4 linked regions of the Saccharomyces cerevisiae S288C genome follow. The protein of the gene in region 1 purifies or fractionates together with the protein of each later gene. This does not show direct contact. Each region holds a gene or a part of one and is shown in the gene's direction. Other genes may lie near its edges. The genes, in order: UTP10, UTP20, ENP1 and RCL1.

The links.
Region 2: the proteins of UTP10 (region 1) and UTP20 purify together in Saccharomyces cerevisiae (affinity purification with mass spectrometry; 6 studies listed by BioGRID). This does not show direct contact.
Region 3: the proteins of UTP10 (region 1) and ENP1 purify together in Saccharomyces cerevisiae (affinity purification with mass spectrometry; 9 studies listed by BioGRID, with this or other methods). This does not show direct contact.
Region 4: the proteins of UTP10 (region 1) and RCL1 purify together in Saccharomyces cerevisiae (affinity purification with mass spectrometry; 5 studies listed by BioGRID). This does not show direct contact.

Annotation. Positions count from the first base shown.
Region 1 is NC_001142.9:211,497-219,147, reverse strand, and holds UTP10 (snoRNA-binding rRNA-processing protein UTP10), read left to right. Parts: upstream 1-1,838; coding exon 1,839-7,148; downstream 7,149-7,651. Other genes in the region: YJL107C (uncharacterized protein), read left to right, coding at 1-295; pheromone-regulated protein PRM10, read left to right, coding at 292-1,443; GZF3 (Gzf3p), read left to right, coding at 7,571-7,651. UniProt on the Saccharomyces cerevisiae protein: Involved in nucleolar processing of pre-18S ribosomal RNA. Required for optimal pre-ribosomal RNA transcription by RNA polymerase I together with a subset of U3 proteins required for transcription (t-UTPs). Involved in ribosome biosynthesis.
Region 2 is NC_001134.8:225,855-233,664, forward strand, and holds the start of UTP20 (Utp20p), read left to right. Parts: upstream 1-1,781; coding exon 1,782-7,810. UniProt on the Saccharomyces cerevisiae protein: Involved in nucleolar processing of pre-18S ribosomal RNA and ribosome assembly.
Region 3 is NC_001134.8:712,502-716,083, reverse strand, and holds ENP1 (snoRNA-binding rRNA-processing protein ENP1), read left to right. Parts: upstream 1-1,628; coding exon 1,629-3,080; downstream 3,081-3,582. Other genes in the region: HIS7 (imidazoleglycerol-phosphate synthase), read left to right, coding at 1-1,277; RRT2 (diphthamide synthase), read right to left, coding at 3,330-3,582. UniProt on the Saccharomyces cerevisiae protein: Required for normal export of the pre-40S particles from the nucleus to the cytoplasm.
Region 4 is NC_001147.6:306,154-309,541, forward strand, and holds RCL1 (rRNA-processing endoribonuclease), read left to right. Parts: upstream 1-1,784; coding exon 1,785-2,888; downstream 2,889-3,388. Other genes in the region: PLB3 (lysophospholipase), read left to right, coding at 1-1,256; ERMES complex subunit MDM12, read right to left, coding at 3,171-3,388. UniProt on the Saccharomyces cerevisiae protein: Does not have cyclase activity. Plays a role in 40S-ribosomal-subunit biogenesis in the early pre-rRNA processing steps at sites A0, A1 and A2 that are required for proper maturation of the 18S RNA. RCL1 activates BMS1 by promoting GDP/GTP exchange.

The DNA of each region.
Region 1 (7,651 bases):
TATTTCTTCTACTGCTGGAAACAAAGACGTACCAGTTGCCAAGCGTAGCAGATTACAAAATTTAAAAGGCAAGGCTAAAAAAGGCAGAATGCCTAGACTGAAGAAAAGACTAAAAACTGAAGCGAAAATTACGGTTCACATTGCAGACATTTTACAAAGACACCGGTTCATCCTACGCATGTGTAGAGCTCTTATGATGTATGGTGCTCCGACGCATAGGCTTGAAGAATATATGGTTATGACTTCTAGAGTCCTTGAAATAGATGGTCAGTTTTGTATCTTCCAGGTTGTATGATTGTTTCATTTGGTGATGCAACAACAAGAACTTCCGAAGTTCAATTGGTTAGGTGTACTCAAGGTCTAAACCTTTGGAAGCTGCATCAAGTTCATGCCGTTTACAAAAGAGTTGTCCATGATACCTTAGGTGCCGATGAAGGTAATGCTTTACTCGATCAAATTTTGGCTGACACGAATCTATATCCACCTTGGATGTGTGTTCTTTTATATGCATTTTGTTCCGCTATGGTCACTCCGTATGCCTTTGGTGGCGATTGGGTAAACCTGGCAATCTCATTTTTTATGGGGCTTTGTGTGGGGTCATTACAATTTATTCTTTCACAAAAGTCATACATGTATTCAAACGTCTTCGAAATTTCTGCATCTATTGTCGTTAGCTTCTGCGGTAGAGCTTTTGGCTCTATCCCTCGTTCTCACATCTGCTTTGGTGCAGTTACACAAGGCTCATTGGCATTAATCCTGCCAGGTTATATTATTCTGTGTGGTGCACTAGAACTGCAAAGTCGAAGCCTAGTTGCTGGCGCGGTCCGTATGTTCTACGCCATTATTTATTCTTTGTTTTTGGGTTTTGGCATAACATTGGGCTCAGCTTTGTTTGGATGGATGTATCACAATGCCACTAACGAAATTTCATGTCCTCAATTAATTTCTCCGTGGTTCAGGTTCCTCTTCGTTCCAGCGTTTACCATTAGTATCTCGTTATTAAATCAAGCACACATCTCACAACTGCCAGTTATGGTCTTCATTTCTTGCACCGGTTATGTCGTAACATATTGGGCCGGTAAGCATTTTGCGAATTCGACAGAGTTTACTGCCGCCTTAGCTGCATTTGTCATAGGTGTTTTAGGTAATCTATATTCCAGAATTTGGAAAGGTTTAGCGGTATCAGCTATGCTTCCCGCAATCTTCGTTCAAGTGCCATCTGGTATTGCTTCACAAAATTCGTTGTTGTCTGGGTTGCAAAGTGCAAATACAATTGTTAATGCTAATGAAACCATTACGACAAGCACCTCCGATCCATCGTCCTCAATGTCATTTGGTATGACAATGATTCAAGTTTGTGTCGGTATTTCTGTGGGACTATTTGCTTCTTCACTCTTTGTCTACCCCTTTGGTAAAAAGAAAACTGGTCTTTTCAGTTTATAAGCTCTCACAAGGTCCACTTCGTTAGAAACTTGTTAACCAATGGACCAAGTGTTGCCATTGGGTCATTCTTCAGTATCAAAGAAGACTTTGACCCACTAAGAAAAATTTCAAAAGTAAATTATAAATATAGCATTAAGTACAAATAACATATCAGCTTATGAATCCTTTTTTTCAATTTTATGGTTTCATAGCCAATAATCATAACATACATAGATTAATAATATTCAAGTCACATGACTTTTTTTTTTTTCTTTTTTCTTTCTGCGTTAAGCAAAGAAAAAAATTTTCAGTTAGCGATGAGCTAGATATTTTCGAAGGTGTAACAAATACTTTCTTTATTACCTTTCAGAATCAGACTTATCTAACTGGCCACCAAAGTACGAATAACTTTGAAAATGTCTTCGTTGAGTGACCAATTAGCTCAAGTTGCTTCCAACAATGCTACTGTTGCGTTGGATAGAAAGAGAAGACAAAAACTTCATTCTGCTTCTTTGATTTATAACTCAAAGACGGCTGCAACACAAGATTACGATTTCATTTTTGAAAACGCTAGTAAGGCTCTTGAAGAATTGAGCCAAATTGAGCCAAAATTTGCCATTTTCTCAAGAACACTCTTTTCAGAGTCTTCCATTTCTCTTGATAGAAATGTCCAAACAAAAGAAGAAATTAAAGATTTGGATAATGCTATCAATGCTTACTTGCTATTGGCTTCTTCTAAATGGTATTTAGCACCTACACTACATGCAACAGAATGGTTGGTTCGTCGTTTTCAAATACATGTTAAAAACACAGAGATGCTGCTTTTGTCCACTCTCAACTACTACCAAACACCTGTCTTTAAGAGAATTCTCAGCATTATTAAGTTGCCCCCTTTGTTTAATTGTTTGTCGAATTTTGTTAGAAGTGAAAAGCCCCCAACGGCGCTAACCATGATAAAGCTCTTTAATGACATGGATTTTCTGAAACTTTATACCAGTTATTTGGATCAATGTATTAAGCATAATGCAACGTATACTAACCAGCTTTTATTTACAACATGCTGCTTTATTAACGTTGTTGCTTTCAATTCAAACAACGATGAAAAACTGAATCAGCTTGTTCCAATCTTACTTGAAATATCTGCTAAACTTTTAGCCTCTAAATCAAAGGATTGTCAAATAGCTGCACATACCATATTAGTTGTATTTGCTACAGCTTTGCCTTTAAAGAAAACAATTATCTTAGCTGCCATGGAAACCATTCTTTCAAACTTAGATGCTAAAGAGGCAAAACATTCAGCACTCCTCACGATTTGTAAGCTGTTCCAAACATTAAAAGGACAAGGTAACGTAGATCAGCTACCTTCCAAAATTTTCAAGTTATTTGATAGCAAGTTCGACACTGTGTCTATACTAACCTTCTTAGATAAGGAAGACAAACCAGTTTGTGATAAATTCATTACTTCCTATACAAGATCCATAGCAAGGTATGATCGGTCCAAATTGAACATTATTCTTAGCCTACTAAAAAAAATAAGACTAGAAAGATACGAAGTTAGGTTGATAATCACTGATTTGATTTACCTTTCCGAAATTTTAGAGGACAAGTCACAATTAGTAGAACTATTCGAATATTTTATCTCCATAAATGAAGATTTGGTGTTAAAATGTTTGAAATCATTGGGACTGACAGGCGAACTCTTCGAAATCAGGCTTACTACATCTTTGTTCACTAATGCCGATGTTAACACCGACATTGTAAAGCAGTTAAGCGACCCCGTGGAAACTACTAAAAAGGATACCGCTTCATTTCAAACATTCTTGGATAAGCATTCAGAATTGATAAACACAACGAATGTGTCCATGCTAACAGAAACTGGAGAAAGATACAAAAAGGTTTTATCTTTATTCACTGAAGCTATTGGTAAAGGCTATAAAGCAAGTTCCTTCTTGACTTCATTTTTCACTACTTTAGAATCAAGAATAACGTTTTTGTTAAGAGTAACTATATCTCCAGCCGCTCCAACCGCGCTAAAGCTAATATCTTTAAACAATATTGCAAAATATATTAATAGTATTGAAAAGGAAGTTAATATTTTTACTTTAGTTCCATGCTTGATTTGCGCTTTGCGAGATGCTTCTATAAAAGTTAGGACTGGCGTGAAGAAGATTCTTTCCTTGATTGCTAAAAGACCATCCACTAAGCACTACTTTTTGTCTGATAAACTTTACGGAGAGAACGTTACCATTCCTATGTTAAATCCCAAAGATAGTGAGGCATGGTTATCAGGATTTTTGAATGAGTACGTTACTGAGAATTATGACATATCCAGAATTTTAACGCCAAAGAGAAATGAAAAAGTCTTTTTGATGTTTTGGGCTAATCAAGCCCTACTAATACCTTCTCCGTATGCCAAGACAGTGTTGTTGGATAACCTGAACAAGAGTCCGACTTATGCATCTTCTTATTCCTCCCTATTTGAGGAATTTATTTCCCACTACTTAGAAAACAGATCTAGTTGGGAAAAGAGTTGTATTGCTAATAAAACAAACTTTGAGCATTTTGAGCGCTCTTTAGTTAATTTGGTATCACCAAAAGAAAAGCAGTCATTCATGATCGATTTTGTTCTCAGTGCTCTTAACTCAGATTATGAGCAGTTAGCTAACATAGCTGCCGAGAGGCTTATCAGCATATTCGCTTCATTAAATAATGCTCAAAAACTAAAAATCGTCCAAAATATCGTGGATTCTTCGAGTAACGTAGAATCATCGTACGATACAGTCGGTGTACTACAATCATTGCCGTTAGATTCCGATATTTTTGTATCCATACTAAATCAAAACAGTATCAGTAACGAAATGGATCAGACAGACTTTTCTAAAAGAAGAAGAAGACGTTCATCAACAAGTAAAAACGCATTTTTGAAAGAGGAGGTTTCGCAACTGGCGGAATTGCACCTGAGAAAGTTGACGATTATTTTGGAAGCACTTGATAAAGTCAGAAATGTTGGATCCGAAAAGCTTTTGTTCACTTTACTTTCCTTATTATCAGATCTGGAAACTTTGGATCAAGACGGTGGATTACCGGTTTTATATGCGCAAGAAACTTTGATTTCTTGTACGCTGAACACTATCACATACTTGAAGGAACATGGCTGTACAGAACTAACCAACGTAAGGGCAGATATATTGGTATCCGCTATTAGAAATTCTGCATCTCCGCAAGTCCAAAACAAACTATTACTTGTAATTGGATCTCTTGCTACTTTAAGTTCGGAAGTTATTTTGCATTCTGTAATGCCTATCTTTACTTTTATGGGAGCCCATAGTATTCGTCAAGATGATGAATTCACAACTAAAGTTGTTGAGCGTACGATACTAACTGTTGTCCCTGCCTTGATCAAGAATAGCAAAGGAAATGAAAAAGAGGAAATGGAGTTCCTTTTGTTGAGCTTCACAACCGCTTTGCAACATGTTCCAAGACATAGGAGGGTTAAATTATTTTCTACGTTAATCAAAACACTTGATCCAGTAAAGGCACTGGGCTCGTTCCTTTTCTTGATTGCACAACAGTATTCTTCAGCTTTAGTCAACTTTAAAATTGGCGAGGCAAGAATATTAATTGAGTTTATTAAGGCCCTACTCGTTGATCTACATGTCAATGAGGAATTATCAGGTTTGAATGACTTACTCGATATCATCAAATTGTTGACATCATCAAAGAGCTCCTCGGAAAAGAAGAAATCACTAGAATCCCGTGTCTTGTTTTCAAATGGTGTCTTGAATTTTTCGGAAAGTGAATTTTTGACATTTATGAACAATACCTTTGAGTTTATCAATAAAATAACCGAGGAAACAGATCAAGATTATTACGATGTGAGGAGAAATTTAAGACTAAAGGTATATTCTGTTTTGTTAGATGAAACAAGCGATAAAAAGTTAATTAGAAACATCAGGGAAGAATTTGGAACCCTTTTAGAAGGTGTTCTTTTTTTCATTAATTCTGTAGAATTAACCTTTTCATGTATAACTTCCCAAGAAAATGAGGAAGCTTCCGACTCTGAAACATCATTATCAGATCACACGACTGAAATAAAGGAGATTCTATTCAAGGTGCTTGGCAATGTGTTACAAATTCTACCAGTTGACGAGTTTGTTAATGCGGTATTACCCTTACTCAGTACATCCACTAATGAAGATATTAGATACCACCTAACGTTGGTAATAGGGTCCAAATTCGAGTTAGAAGGCTCTGAAGCTATTCCTATAGTTAACAATGTGATGAAGGTTTTGCTCGACAGAATGCCTTTGGAATCTAAATCTGTTGTTATTTCTCAAGTAATATTGAACACGATGACGGCTTTAGTGAGCAAATATGGTAAGAAGCTTGAGGGGTCCATATTAACTCAAGCCCTCACCCTTGCTACTGAAAAAGTTAGTTCTGATATGACAGAGGTCAAGATATCTTCGTTGGCATTGATAACTAACTGTGTTCAAGTTTTAGGAGTCAAGTCAATTGCGTTCTATCCAAAAATAGTCCCACCTTCTATTAAATTATTTGATGCTTCATTGGCAGATAGTAGTAACCCATTAAAAGAGCAGTTGCAAGTTGCTATACTGTTGCTGTTCGCCGGTCTAATCAAAAGGATACCAAGTTTCTTGATGTCAAATATTTTGGATGTTTTGCATGTTATTTATTTTTCCCGTGAAGTTGACAGCAGCATTAGGCTGTCAGTAATTTCATTGATAATTGAGAATATAGATTTGAAGGAAGTTTTGAAAGTTTTATTCAGAATTTGGTCCACTGAAATAGCAACGTCCAATGATACAGTTGCTGTTAGTCTATTTTTGAGTACATTAGAATCCACTGTTGAAAATATTGATAAAAAATCCGCAACCTCACAATCGCCAATATTTTTTAAGTTACTATTATCTTTATTCGAATTTAGATCCATTTCCAGTTTCGATAATAATACAATTAGTAGGATAGAGGCATCCGTTCACGAAATTTCCAACTCTTACGTCCTGAAGATGAATGACAAAGTATTTAGACCGCTATTTGTTATATTAGTAAGATGGGCGTTTGACGGTGAAGGCGTTACAAATGCAGGTATCACTGAAACAGAAAGACTGTTGGCATTTTTCAAATTTTTCAACAAGCTTCAAGAAAATTTGAGAGGTATAATTACTTCCTATTTCACGTATTTGTTAGAACCTGTTGATATGTTGTTAAAAAGATTCATTAGCAAGGACATGGAAAACGTTAATTTAAGACGTTTGGTAATCAACTCTCTAACCTCTTCGCTAAAGTTTGATAGAGACGAATACTGGAAATCAACTTCCAGATTCGAGTTAATTTCTGTATCCTTGGTCAATCAACTATCTAATATAGAAAACTCTATTGGGAAGTACCTGGTCAAGGCAATTGGCGCTCTGGCTTCTAACAATAGTGGCGTTGATGAGCATAACCAAATTTTGAATAAACTAATCGTTGAACACATGAAAGCTTCCTGTTCCTCCAATGAAAAATTATGGGCTATTAGAGCCATGAAGTTGATATACTCAAAGATAGGTGAAAGTTGGTTAGTTCTATTGCCACAGCTCGTTCCCGTCATCGCTGAGTTATTGGAAGATGATGATGAAGAGATCGAACGTGAAGTCAGGACCGGTTTGGTCAAGGTTGTTGAAAACGTTTTAGGGGAACCTTTTGATAGGTATTTAGATTAGAAAAAAAAGGTGAAGTATTATGTAAATTTTTGTAAAGTAAAACACTATGCTGTTGAACGAAATCTTTCATTGAAAATATTGTTATTCATTCGTGATAGCTGCCCCTTTCTGAGTTTGAACTTAATATTTCAATTACGCTACTTCAAGTTTCAATGAGATATTATTCTGTCATCTTTCTCGTCGTTCCTAGTGATTAACGTTACTAAAATTACTGATCCTAAATAGCGGGCGAACAGAGTGAAAATTTTCTTATCTTCGCTTATCTGCGCTTATCAATCCTAATCAGTGAAAAATAAGATATAGGCTTGATAATAAGGTAGTTTGAAAGAGAACATATTGCAAGCGGTTGAAGCTATAATACTAGATATACGAATATCATTTCGGGTATTTGTACTGTGCTCTACAATTCTACTGGTAATATTATGGCATCGCAGGCTACAACTCTTCGAGGCTATAACATTAGAAAACGAGATAATGTATTTGAACCAAAATCAAGTGAAAAC
Region 2 (7,810 bases), on another chromosome or scaffold:
GCTCCAGGTCAACCAGGTCTATATATAGACCAGCAAGAACTAGAGCTAGAAGAAGATGATTACAAAATGAAGGTACATGAAATGCAAAAGCTGATAGGTCTAGCATCATATGTTGGATATAAATTTAGATTTGACCTATTATACTACATCAACACACTTGCACAACATATACTATTTCCGTCCAAGCAAGTGTTAGATATGACATATGAATTGATACAGTTCATATGGAATACGAGAGATAAGCAATTAATATGGCACAAAAGCAAACCTGTTAAGCCAACAAATAAATTAGTTGTTATAAGCGATGCCTCGTATGGTAACCAACCGTATTATAAATCACAAATTGGCAACATATATTTACTTAATGGAAAAGTAATTGGAGGAAAGTCCACCAAGGCTTCATTAACATGTACTTCAACCACGGAAGCAGAAATACACGCAATAAGTGAATCTGTCCCATTATTAAATAATCTAAGTTACCTGATACAAGAACTCGACAAGAAACCAATTACCAAAGGATTACTAACCGACAGTAAATCTACAATCAGTATAATTATATCCAATAATGAAGAGAAATTTAGAAACAGATTTTTTGGTACTAAAGCAATGAGACTGAGAGATGAAGTATCAGGAAATCATCTGCACGTATGCTATATCGAAACCAAAAAGAATATTGCAGACGTAATGACCAAACCTCTTCCGATAAAAACATTCAAACTATTAACAAACAAATGGATTCATTAGATCTATTACATTATGGGTGGTATGTTGGAATAAAAATCCACTATCGTCTATCAACTAATAGTTATATTATCAATATATTATCATATACGGTGTTAAGATGATGACATAAGTTATGAGAAGCTGTCATCGAAGTTAGAGGAAGCTGAAGTGCAAGGATTGATAATGTAATAGGATAATGAAACATATAAAACGGAATGAGGAATAATCGTAATATTAGTATGTAGAAATATAGATTCCATTTTGAGGATTCCTATATCCTTGAGGAGAACTTCTAGTATATTCTGTATACCTAATATTATAGCCTTTATCAACAATGGAATCCCAACAATTATCTCAACATTCCCCCATTTCTCAGGAATCCCAACAGTTATGACAAAATTTATCAGAATTCCCAGTTTCATACATGTTTGATATTTATAGATAATTCATAATGACGGTTTATTTATTCTGGTAAGTTATGATATCATGTAAAACGAGGCAACTTGGCCGAGTGGTTAAGGCGAAAGATTAGAAATCTTTTGGGCTTTGCCCGCGCAGGTTCGAGTCCTGCAGTTGTCGTTATTTTTTGGACAGTAATAAGAGTACGTAAAGTCAATGGAATACGTGGTAAAAGCATCACGTTTATGTTTTATTAAAAGATTGGCATAGAACTTGGCCTTCTTCGTAACGACTTATCACCCGTTAAAAGTATGCTATATGAGTTATATCGGCTGCAGTGTATTTCTTCCTGGCTCATTTAAAGCTAATGAAATGTACCTCTCGCTTCATTTTCTAAGGTAGTGTTTTGAAGGCGTATGTATGTAATGTCACCCGGACTTTTGTAAAGAAAAAATTTTGAGTTTATGTCTTTCCGAAAATTTTTACCGATGAGCATTGAAAAGTTGCATTATTAAATTTGGTAGCGTAAAAACCACCGATTAAACAGGTAGTGTAGGTTGTAAATTAAAGATCATATTCTTTCCTGTTTACATCCAGTTTTACGTTGTTGGCCGTATTGGTATATTTCTAGTATCAGTTACACATATTTCATTGAAAGTATGGCTAAACAAAGACAAACTACTAAATCGTCTAAGCGATATAGATATTCTTCCTTCAAGGCTAGGATTGACGATTTGAAGATTGAACCGGCTAGAAATTTGGAAAAAAGGGTACATGATTATGTCGAGTCGTCGCATTTTCTCGCTTCCTTTGATCAGTGGAAAGAAATTAATTTAAGTGCCAAATTTACGGAGTTTGCAGCGGAAATTGAGCATGATGTTCAAACATTACCCCAAATACTATATCATGATAAAAAGATTTTTAATTCTTTGGTTTCATTCATTAACTTTCACGATGAGTTTTCTTTGCAACCGCTTCTGGACCTCTTGGCTCAATTTTGTCATGATTTAGGTCCAGATTTTCTTAAATTTTATGAAGAAGCTATCAAAACTTTAATAAATCTGTTAGACGCTGCTATAGAATTTGAGTCATCTAATGTTTTTGAGTGGGGTTTCAACTGTTTGGCTTATATTTTCAAGTATCTCTCGAAATTTTTGGTTAAAAAACTGGTACTCACATGTGATCTTTTAATTCCACTATTGTCTCATTCTAAGGAATATCTTTCAAGATTTTCAGCAGAAGCATTATCTTTTTTAGTAAGAAAGTGTCCTGTTTCTAACTTGCGCGAGTTTGTTAGATCAGTTTTTGAAAAGTTAGAGGGAGATGATGAGCAAACTAACCTCTACGAAGGGCTTCTGATATTATTCACAGAATCCATGACGTCAACGCAAGAAACTCTGCATTCGAAAGCTAAAGCTATCATGAGCGTTCTTTTGCATGAAGCTTTGACCAAATCATCCCCGGAAAGATCTGTTTCATTGCTCTCAGATATTTGGATGAACATTAGTAAGTACGCCTCAATCGAAAGTTTACTTCCAGTCTATGAAGTTATGTATCAGGATTTTAACGATTCTCTCGATGCCACCAATATCGATAGAATATTAAAAGTATTGACAACAATTGTCTTCTCGGAAAGTGGTAGAAAAATTCCTGATTGGAATAAAATTACTATCCTAATTGAAAGAATAATGAGTCAAAGTGAAAATTGTGCTTCGCTTTCACAGGATAAAGTGGCTTTCCTATTTGCTTTATTTATTCGTAACAGTGACGTGAAAACTTTAACATTATTCCACCAAAAACTTTTTAACTACGCTTTAACAAATATATCTGACTGTTTCCTTGAATTCTTTCAATTTGCTTTAAGGCTAAGCTATGAAAGAGTATTTTCATTCAATGGATTAAAATTCCTACAGTTATTTTTAAAGAAAAATTGGCAATCACAAGGAAAAAAAATTGCACTTTTTTTTCTAGAAGTAGATGATAAGCCTGAACTGCAGAAAGTACGGGAAGTAAATTTCCCAGAAGAATTTATTTTATCTATCAGAGATTTTTTTGTCACAGCAGAAATTAATGATTCGAATGACCTTTTCGAAATATATTGGCGAGCTATAATTTTTAAATATTCGAAATTACAGAATACAGAAATTATTATCCCATTGCTTGAACGTATCTTTTCAACTTTTGCATCACCAGATAATTTTACGAAAGATATGGTCGGTACACTCTTAAAAATATATCGTAAAGAAGACGACGCTTCAGGGAATAATCTATTAAAGACTATTCTGGATAATTACGAAAACTATAAAGAAAGTTTAAACTTTTTAAGAGGATGGAACAAGTTAGTGAGTAATCTTCATCCTTCAGAAAGCTTAAAAGGACTAATGTCACACTATCCAAGTCTACTCCTTAGCTTGACAGATAATTTTATGTTGCCTGATGGGAAGATTCGTTATGAAACTTTAGAATTAATGAAGACATTAATGATTTTGCAGGGTATGCAAGTACCTGACCTCCTTTCTTCATGTATGGTTATCGAGGAAATACCTCTTACACTACAAAATGCCAGAGATTTAACCATTAGAATCAAGAATGTTGGTGCCGAATTCGGAAAAACCAAAACAGACAAGCTAGTATCCTCTTTCTTTCTCAAATACTTATTTGGCCTTCTTACCGTTAGATTCTCTCCAGTTTGGACTGGTGTTTTTGACACTCTTCCTAATGTTTACACAAAAGATGAAGCCCTCGTTTGGAAACTTGTGCTATCATTCATTAAACTTCCTGATGAAAATCAAAATTTGGATTACTACCAGCCTCTTCTTGAAGATGGTGCAAACAAAGTTCTGTGGGATTCGAGTGTAGTGAGGTTAAGGGACACTATTGATACGTTCTCACATATTTGGTCAAAGTATTCTACTCAAAATACGAGCATTATATCTACTACTATTGAAAGAAGGGGGAACACCACCTACCCAATTTTAATTAGAAATCAGGCTCTAAAAGTTATGCTATCGATTCCTCAAGTTGCTGAAAATCACTTCGTCGACATCGCACCTTTTGTTTATAATGACTTCAAGACTTACAAAGATGAAGAGGATATGGAAAATGAACGTGTTATTACTGGTTCATGGACAGAAGTTGATAGAAACGTGTTTTTAAAGACTTTAAGCAAGTTCAAAAATATAAAGAATGTTTATAGTGCAACAGAATTGCACGATCATCTGATGGTACTGTTGGGTAGCCGTAATACAGACGTTCAGAAGCTTGCGTTGGACGCACTTCTTGCATACAAAAATCCAACGTTGAATAAATATAGAGATAATTTGAAAAATCTACTAGATGACACCTTATTCAAGGACGAGATTACGACTTTTTTAACCGAAAATGGGTCGCAGTCTATCAAGGCTGAGGACGAAAAGGTAGTCATGCCTTATGTCCTTAGAATTTTCTTCGGTCGAGCACAAGTCCCCCCAACTAGTGGACAGAAAAGAAGCCGCAAAATAGCTGTCATTTCAGTTTTGCCAAATTTTAAGAAGCCATATATTAATGATTTTTTGAGTTTGGCTAGTGAAAGGCTGGATTATAATTATTTTTTTGGGAACAGCCATCAAATAAATAGCTCAAAGGCTACCTTGAAAACTATCAGACGGATGACTGGTTTCGTTAACATTGTAAATTCTACTCTGTCTGTATTAAGAACAAATTTTCCTTTGCATACTAATTCAGTGCTGCAGCCGTTGATCTATTCAATTGCTATGGCATACTATGTCTTAGATACTGAGAGCACAGAGGAGGTACATTTAAGAAAGATGGCAAGTAATTTAAGGCAACAAGGTCTAAAATGTTTAAGTAGTGTCTTTGAATTTGTTGGAAATACATTTGATTGGTCTACTTCTATGGAAGATATTTACGCCGTTGTAGTTAAGCCTCGTATTTCACATTTTTCGGATGAAAACTTACAACAACCCTCCTCTTTACTAAGACTTTTCCTTTATTGGGCACACAATCCATCTCTGTACCAGTTTTTGTATTACGATGAATTTGCAACTGCCACTGCATTGATGGACACCATATCAAACCAACACGTTAAGGAAGCTGTTATTGGCCCAATAATTGAAGCGGCGGACTCAATTATTAGAAATCCAGTAAATGATGATCACTACGTAGATTTGGTGACTCTCATCTGCACATCATGTCTGAAAATACTTCCTTCGCTATATGTCAAACTTTCTGACTCAAACTCGATTTCCACATTTTTGAATTTGCTAGTTAGTATCACTGAGATGGGATTTATTCAAGATGATCATGTTAGAAGTCGTTTAATTAGTTCATTAATATCAATATTAAAAGGAAAGCTAAAAAAACTGCAGGAAAATGATACCCAAAAAATTTTGAAAATATTAAAGCTGATAGTTTTCAACTACAATTGTTCTTGGAGTGATATTGAAGAACTATACACTACCATATCTTCTTTGTTCAAAACATTTGACGAGCGAAACCTCAGGGTTTCCTTGACAGAGCTCTTCATAGAACTCGGTAGAAAAGTTCCTGAATTAGAAAGTATTTCGAAATTGGTTGCGGACTTGAATTCATACTCCTCATCACGTATGCATGAATATGATTTTCCTAGAATTTTATCAACTTTCAAGGGGTTAATTGAAGATGGTTATAAGTCCTACAGTGAGTTAGAGTGGTTACCTCTGTTGTTCACCTTTTTACATTTTATCAATAATAAGGAAGAACTTGCGTTAAGAACAAACGCATCCCACGCTATAATGAAGTTTATTGACTTCATTAACGAAAAGCCTAATCTTAATGAAGCTTCAAAATCGATTTCTATGCTGAAGGATATACTTTTACCCAATATAAGGATTGGCCTCAGAGACTCCCTAGAAGAGGTACAAAGTGAGTATGTATCAGTGCTATCATATATGGTAAAAAACACGAAATATTTCACCGACTTCGAAGATATGGCCATTTTACTGTACAATGGTGATGAAGAAGCAGATTTTTTTACAAACGTTAATCATATTCAGCTTCATCGTCGTCAGAGAGCCATTAAAAGACTAGGTGAACATGCTCATCAACTCAAAGATAACAGTATATCCCATTATTTAATTCCAATGATCGAACATTATGTCTTTTCGGATGATGAAAGATACAGAAATATTGGAAATGAGACCCAAATAGCCATCGGAGGGTTGGCGCAGCACATGAGTTGGAATCAATACAAAGCTCTTCTTAGAAGGTACATTTCTATGTTGAAAACCAAGCCTAACCAAATGAAGCAAGCCGTACAATTAATTGTTCAACTTTCTGTTCCACTTAGAGAAACTCTTCGTATCGTAAGAGATGGGGCTGAGTCGAAACTTACTTTGAGCAAATTTCCTTCCAACTTAGATGAACCCAGTAATTTTATTAAGCAAGAATTGTATCCGACTCTTTCGAAAATTCTTGGCACTAGAGATGACGAAACTATAATTGAAAGAATGCCTATTGCGGAGGCATTAGTTAATATTGTTTTAGGGCTCACAAATGATGATATTACTAATTTCCTCCCTAGTATTCTAACAAATATTTGCCAAGTTTTGAGAAGTAAATCCGAAGAATTAAGAGATGCAGTAAGAGTAACCTTGGGTAAAATCAGTATTATCTTGGGCGCTGAGTATCTTGTCTTTGTGATAAAGGAATTAATGGCTACATTAAAACGTGGTTCTCAAATTCATGTGTTAAGTTACACTGTCCACTACATATTAAAGAGTATGCACGGAGTCTTAAAACACTCCGATTTGGATACCTCGTCCAGTATGATTGTTAAGATTATAATGGAAAATATCTTTGGGTTCGCTGGTGAAGAAAAAGACTCTGAGAATTATCATACAAAAGTGAAAGAAATTAAGAGTAATAAAAGCTATGATGCTGGTGAAATTCTCGCCTCAAACATCAGCCTGACAGAATTTGGAACATTACTCTCTCCTGTGAAGGCTTTGTTGATGGTCAGAATTAATCTAAGAAATCAAAACAAACTGAGTGAATTATTGAGACGATATTTGTTGGGTTTAAATCATAATAGTGACTCTGAGTCAGAAAGTATCCTCAAGTTCTGCCATCAGCTTTTCCAGGAATCAGAAATGAGTAATTCCCCTCAAATACCAAAGAAAAAAGTGAAAGACCAAGTAGATGAAAAAGAAGACTTTTTCTTGGTAAATTTGGAGTCGAAATCTTATACCATCAACTCAAACAGTTTGCTTTTGAACAGCACTTTACAAAAATTTGCTTTAGACTTACTTAGGAACGTAATAACGAGACACCGCTCCTTTTTAACTGTCTCGCACCTAGAGGGTTTTATTCCATTTTTGAGAGATTCGTTACTTTCGGAAAATGAAGGTGTGGTAATTAGTACTTTACGTATCCTGATTACATTAATTAGGCTAGATTTTTCCGATGAATCTAGTGAAATCTTCAAAAACTGTGCGAGGAAGGTACTAAATATTATCAAGGTTTCTCCTTCAACTTCAAGCGAATTATGCCAAATGGGTTTAAAGTTTCTTTCTGCCTTTATACGTCACACAGATTCAACATTAAAGGATACTGCTTTGAGTTATGTTCTAGGGAGGGTCTTACCAGATTTAAATGAACCAAGCAGACAAGGCCTTGCTTTTAATTTCCTAAAAGCACTTGTTTCAAAACA
Region 3 (3,582 bases), on another chromosome or scaffold:
TTCCCTCGGAAAACCTATTCTTTGGATTGGATCCATACAAGAGGTACTATTTCGTCCATTCTTTTGCTGCCATTCTGAATTCAGAAAAGAAAAAAAACCTAGAAAATGACGGTTGGAAAATTGCAAAAGCTAAGTACGGTTCAGAGGAATTTATTGCGGCAGTCAACAAGAATAATATATTCGCTACTCAGTTCCATCCTGAAAAATCAGGTAAAGCTGGTTTGAACGTCATTGAGAATTTTTTGAAGCAACAAAGTCCTCCGATTCCAAACTATAGTGCGGAAGAGAAGGAACTCTTAATGAATGACTATTCAAATTATGGTCTAACACGCAGAATTATTGCTTGTCTTGATGTACGTACTAATGACCAAGGTGATTTGGTGGTTACTAAAGGTGATCAATACGATGTACGTGAAAAAAGTGATGGTAAAGGTGTTAGAAACCTTGGTAAGCCTGTTCAGTTGGCACAGAAATATTACCAACAGGGTGCGGATGAAGTAACATTTTTGAATATAACTTCTTTTAGAGATTGTCCTTTGAAGGATACTCCGATGCTAGAGGTTCTGAAACAAGCCGCAAAGACAGTCTTTGTTCCATTGACAGTCGGTGGGGGGATCAAGGATATTGTCGATGTTGATGGAACCAAAATACCTGCTTTAGAAGTTGCAAGTCTATACTTCAGATCTGGTGCTGATAAAGTATCGATCGGTACGGATGCAGTCTATGCAGCCGAAAAATACTACGAGTTGGGTAACAGAGGAGATGGAACGTCACCAATAGAGACAATCTCGAAAGCATACGGTGCTCAGGCAGTTGTTATTTCTGTCGACCCTAAGAGAGTATATGTAAATTCACAAGCAGATACGAAGAACAAAGTCTTCGAGACAGAATATCCGGGCCCCAATGGAGAGAAATACTGCTGGTACCAATGTACAATCAAAGGTGGAAGAGAATCTAGAGACCTTGGTGTGTGGGAATTAACAAGGGCATGTGAAGCTCTAGGTGCTGGGGAGATTTTATTGAACTGCATAGACAAGGATGGCTCTAATTCTGGTTATGATCTGGAATTGATAGAACATGTTAAAGATGCGGTCAAGATTCCCGTCATTGCATCCAGTGGCGCCGGTGTACCCGAACATTTCGAAGAGGCCTTCCTAAAGACCCGCGCAGATGCTTGCTTGGGTGCAGGTATGTTCCACAGAGGTGAATTCACTGTTAACGATGTAAAGGAGTATTTACTAGAGCACGGATTAAAGGTTAGAATGGATGAAGAGTAATGTGGTTGGATATGTATACTTTATAATCTTGACTCAGTCTATATACGCAATAATGATAGATGTTAAATCAGACATTTCACAACACAAGAGGATGTACAGCTTGGAGAAATTGTACCAACTTATATGGTTGTATTATTGGTGGTGTCAGTAGGGGAAGAAATAGAACATATTTTTCCACTTTTTCATTTTTTTTTTTTAGCGAGGCATCGGAAATGAAAATTTTTAAAAATCGATGAGCTCCCACTTCTTCAACATTGACGAAAGGAAATATGCACTAAGTTGTTTTAAATCCAAGATTTGTCTCGTTTTAAGACTTACAGATAAAACAATATATTAGAAAGATTAACTATAATGGCCAGAGCATCCTCTACTAAAGCCAGAAAACAGAGGCATGATCCACTTTTAAAGGATTTAGATGCAGCTCAAGGTACCTTGAAAAAAATCAATAAAAAGAAGCTAGCGCAGAACGATGCTGCAAATCACGATGCTGCAAATGAGGAAGATGGATACATAGACTCCAAAGCATCAAGAAAAATTTTGCAGTTGGCCAAGGAACAACAGGATGAAATTGAAGGTGAGGAACTTGCTGAATCAGAAAGAAACAAGCAATTTGAAGCCAGATTCACCACCATGAGCTATGATGATGAAGACGAAGACGAAGACGAAGACGAAGAAGCTTTTGGAGAAGACATCTCCGATTTTGAACCCGAAGGTGATTATAAAGAAGAGGAAGAGATAGTTGAAATCGATGAAGAAGACGCAGCGATGTTTGAGCAATATTTCAAGAAATCAGATGATTTTAACTCTTTAAGTGGTAGCTATAATCTTGCAGACAAGATTATGGCCTCTATCCGAGAAAAGGAAAGTCAAGTTGAAGATATGCAAGATGATGAACCACTTGCTAATGAACAGAATACCTCAAGAGGCAATATTTCATCCGGTTTGAAGAGTGGAGAGGGTGTTGCACTTCCAGAGAAGGTCATCAAAGCATATACTACGGTAGGTAGTATTTTAAAAACTTGGACGCACGGTAAGTTGCCAAAGTTGTTCAAGGTTATCCCATCCTTAAGAAATTGGCAAGATGTCATTTATGTGACCAACCCGGAAGAATGGTCACCACACGTTGTTTACGAAGCAACGAAATTATTTGTATCCAACCTAACTGCTAAAGAATCTCAAAAATTTATTAACCTAATTTTACTTGAACGTTTCCGTGACAATATCGAGACCAGTGAAGACCACTCTTTAAACTATCATATATACCGTGCGGTGAAAAAATCGCTTTATAAACCAAGTGCCTTCTTCAAAGGTTTCCTATTCCCATTGGTTGAAACAGGGTGTAATGTACGTGAAGCGACAATTGCAGGAAGTGTGCTTGCTAAAGTCTCTGTTCCGGCTTTACATTCTTCAGCTGCCTTGAGTTATCTTTTAAGGCTACCTTTCTCTCCACCTACAACTGTTTTTATCAAAATATTGCTCGATAAAAAATATGCTTTACCGTACCAGACGGTGGACGACTGCGTGTATTACTTTATGAGGTTTAGAATTTTGGATGACGGTAGTAATGGGGAAGATGCTACAAGAGTACTCCCAGTGATATGGCACAAGGCTTTCTTAACATTTGCACAACGTTACAAGAACGATATTACCCAGGATCAGAGAGATTTCTTGTTGGAAACTGTTCGTCAAAGAGGCCATAAAGATATCGGTCCTGAGATTAGAAGAGAACTATTGGCAGGAGCCAGCAGGGAGTTTGTTGATCCACAGGAAGCTAATGATGATTTAATGATTGATGTCAATTGATGCTGTAATATCAATTTTTCATCAATTTTATATCGCTCGGTCTTTCCCCCTTTCAACAAAGCTTCTGAATCATGTATAATAAGTAGAAAATATAGAGTAAAAGATTATTGTTCAGGCAAGTTCCTTCCTATCAATTCTTTATGCATAATCTATCGAAATCATCAAAATATGGCCTATATATTAGCCTATATATTAGCCTATATATTAGCCTATATATTAGTCCATATATTGCAGACTGAATTTTTTTTTCTAAACTATCCATGTTTGCAAGGAATTATCATAAAATGAGCATGTTGCGATCAAAGAATTTGACCAGTCGCCACCGTAACACATCGAATCATGGCCCTTCTTCAGATAATGTTGAATTTGAAAATACTCATCGGAATTATCATTCATGGTCACCACCTTGGCACCATTGTACATGCAACAAACTAAAAGCCGATCGGAGCCGTTGTGGTGAGATTGTTCCTGATCAATGGGGGATTCAACAAATCTCCAAACA
Region 4 (3,388 bases), on another chromosome or scaffold:
TTGCGGACGGTAGGTATCCTGGAACAAAAGTCATCAATTTGAACGCAACGGTTTTTGAATTTAATCCCTTTGAAATGGGATCCTGGGATCCCTCTTTGAACTCTTTTGCCAACGTTAAGTACCTTGGAACGAATGTCTCCAATGGTGTACCATTGGAAAGGGGAAAATGTACCGCAGGCTTTGATAATGCAGGTTTTATCATGGGTACTTCCTCCACCTTATTTAACCAGTTTCTTTTGAGAATAAACTCCACTCACTTACCTAGTTTCATCACAAGATTAGCAAGACATTTTCTAAAGGATTTATCTCAAGATTTTAATGATATCGCTGTTTACAGTCCTAATCCATTTAAAGACACGAAGTTTTTGGATAGTGACTATACGACAAGTATTGTTGATTCAGACAGCCTATTCTTAGTTGACGGCGGTGAAGACGACGAAAATGTTCCTGTGTTACCGCTTATACAAAAGGAACGTGATGTGGACATTATTTTTGCGGTAGATAATTCTGCCGATATGAGATTGGCTTGGCCTGACGGTTCTTCTTTAGTCCATACCTATGAGCGTCAATTCGTTAAGCAAGGTCAAGGTATGTCCTTCCCATATGTTCCAGATACGAATACATTCGTTAATTTGGGTTTGAACAAGAAACCAACCTTCTTCGGTTGCGATGCTAATAATTTGACCGATCTTCAATATATTCCACCTCTAGTTGTTTATCTGCCAAATGCAGAATACTCTTTCAATAGTAATCAGAGCGCGTTCAAGCTATCATATTCCGAATCCCAAAGAAGAAGTATGATTCAAAACGGGTTTGAAATTGCAACTAGGAACAACTTCACTGATGATCCTGAATTCATGGGCTGCGTCGGCTGCGCCATCATTAGACGTAAGCAACAAGCTTTGAATATTACTTTGCCTCCGGAATGTGAAACCTGTTTTAAAAATTATTGCTGGAATGGTACCCTGGATACTACCCCATTACCAGATGTTGAAAAGGATGTTCACCACTCCTTTATCAACGTCAATAGCTTCAACAGCTCCATAGGACAAGAAGAAAGTCTTTACGCCGGATCTTCAGCTTCCCAGTCATCGTCTTCATCATCGTCTTCATCTTCGTCTTCGGAAATTCCTTCGGCTACTGCAACCCTTGAGAAAAAGGCAGCTACTAATTCTGGATCACATTTATCTGGCATAAGTGTAAAGTTCTCTGCTATGATTATGCTTACTTTATTGATGTTTACCGGAGCAGTATAATATCTCTTGCGTAATAACGGTATACAAAATGAGGCAATAAAAATCAAAGAACTACACTATAAAATAACGAAACATAAAGCTGAAAGACTAGCAAAATCACTAAAAAACTAAAATAAAAAAAGAAAATGAGCATTTCCCCTTTGCATTGAAGTATCATCCCTTTCGGGCAAGACCATGTTTAAGGAACTTCACTAATGACATCGGAGGTCTATATATAGCAGACCTCTTCTTTAAAAGATATAACTTTATAATTATAACCCCGCGCAAAGCGTATTAATACTTTAAATGGGTAGTCAAGTTGCTTTTATTACTTGCACTTACTTTGAAGGAGGATGTCAGAATTACCCTCGCCATATTGGTAATGTAATTTTTCACGGACTCGAGATTGAAAAAATTTCAGAAAAATTTGCAAAAAAGTGCCGATGAGATGAGCCTTCATAAGCTACGTATGTTGTAAGGGTATAACATCTGTCAAGCTTCACCATTGTCAACACTTTTCCACTAGGATAATCCTCCAAAAGTATAGCAATGTCATCTTCCGCCCCCAAATACACCACTTTCCAAGGGTCACAAAATTTTAGGTTACGGATCGTCTTGGCAACATTATCAGGGAAACCAATAAAAATTGAAAAAATCCGTTCAGGCGACTTAAATCCCGGTCTGAAAGATTATGAAGTGTCTTTTCTAAGGCTGATCGAGTCGGTCACCAACGGGAGTGTAATTGAAATTTCTTATACCGGTACTACTGTGATTTATAGGCCCGGTATCATAGTTGGTGGTGCATCAACTCATATCTGCCCTAGTTCCAAACCGGTAGGTTATTTCGTCGAACCAATGCTATATTTGGCTCCATTTTCAAAAAAGAAATTTTCTATATTATTCAAAGGCATAACTGCATCTCACAACGATGCCGGTATTGAAGCTATCAAATGGGGACTCATGCCCGTTATGGAAAAATTTGGCGTTAGAGAGTGCGCCCTACATACTTTGAAAAGAGGTTCACCACCACTAGGAGGTGGCGAAGTGCATTTGGTTGTTGATTCTTTGATTGCGCAACCTATAACTATGCATGAAATAGATAGGCCCATAATTTCATCGATTACCGGTGTAGCATACTCTACCAGAGTAAGTCCGTCGCTTGTGAATAGAATGATCGATGGTGCTAAGAAGGTATTGAAAAATCTGCAATGCGAAGTTAACATAACGGCAGATGTCTGGAGAGGTGAAAATTCAGGGAAGAGTCCAGGCTGGGGTATTACTTTGGTTGCTCAGTCCAAGCAGAAAGGTTGGAGTTATTTTGCAGAAGATATCGGTGATGCAGGTTCTATACCTGAAGAACTTGGTGAAAAAGTTGCCTGTCAATTATTAGAAGAAATATCAAAGAGTGCAGCAGTTGGTAGAAACCAGCTTCCATTAGCAATTGTTTACATGGTCATCGGGAAAGAAGATATCGGCAGATTGAGAATTAATAAGGAACAGATAGACGAAAGATTCATAATCCTCTTGAGAGATATTAAGAAGATCTTTAATACTGAAGTCTTTTTAAAACCAGTTGACGAGGCGGATAATGAAGACATGATAGCTACTATCAAGGGTATTGGTTTCACAAACACAAGCAAAAAGATTGCATAGCATGTTCTAATATTATTCAATAGATATTAGACCACTGTATATAAGTTATATATATATATATGATTATTTAGGTGTAACTTCACGGACAACTGTCTAGAGTATAAGATTACTGGAGGATCATTGATGATTTCCTTTAACTCTTTTGGGTCATCTAAAATATCATCAAAGAGCGTATGCGAAAAGCGCGTTAAGAATAGATTACTTCATGACAAAATATAATTTTCCAGCTCAAAAATGTTTGTTTTTTTATGTAGACACTATTTTCAAACTATCTTTGTTAAATTACTCATCACCATCGTTGAAATCCAGATTAATCCAACTTGGCCATGCTAACTCCTTTCTTAAAAAATCTTTGAATATCGTAAACAAAAACTGTTCTAGTTCTCCAACACTTCTTAATACTGAGCCCTGTCCCTGATATTGTTCCCCTATTTCGGTTTCAATCTTCATACTTCTCACAATGGATATTCGCTCCAATGGCTTAGTAGCTGCCAGAATTG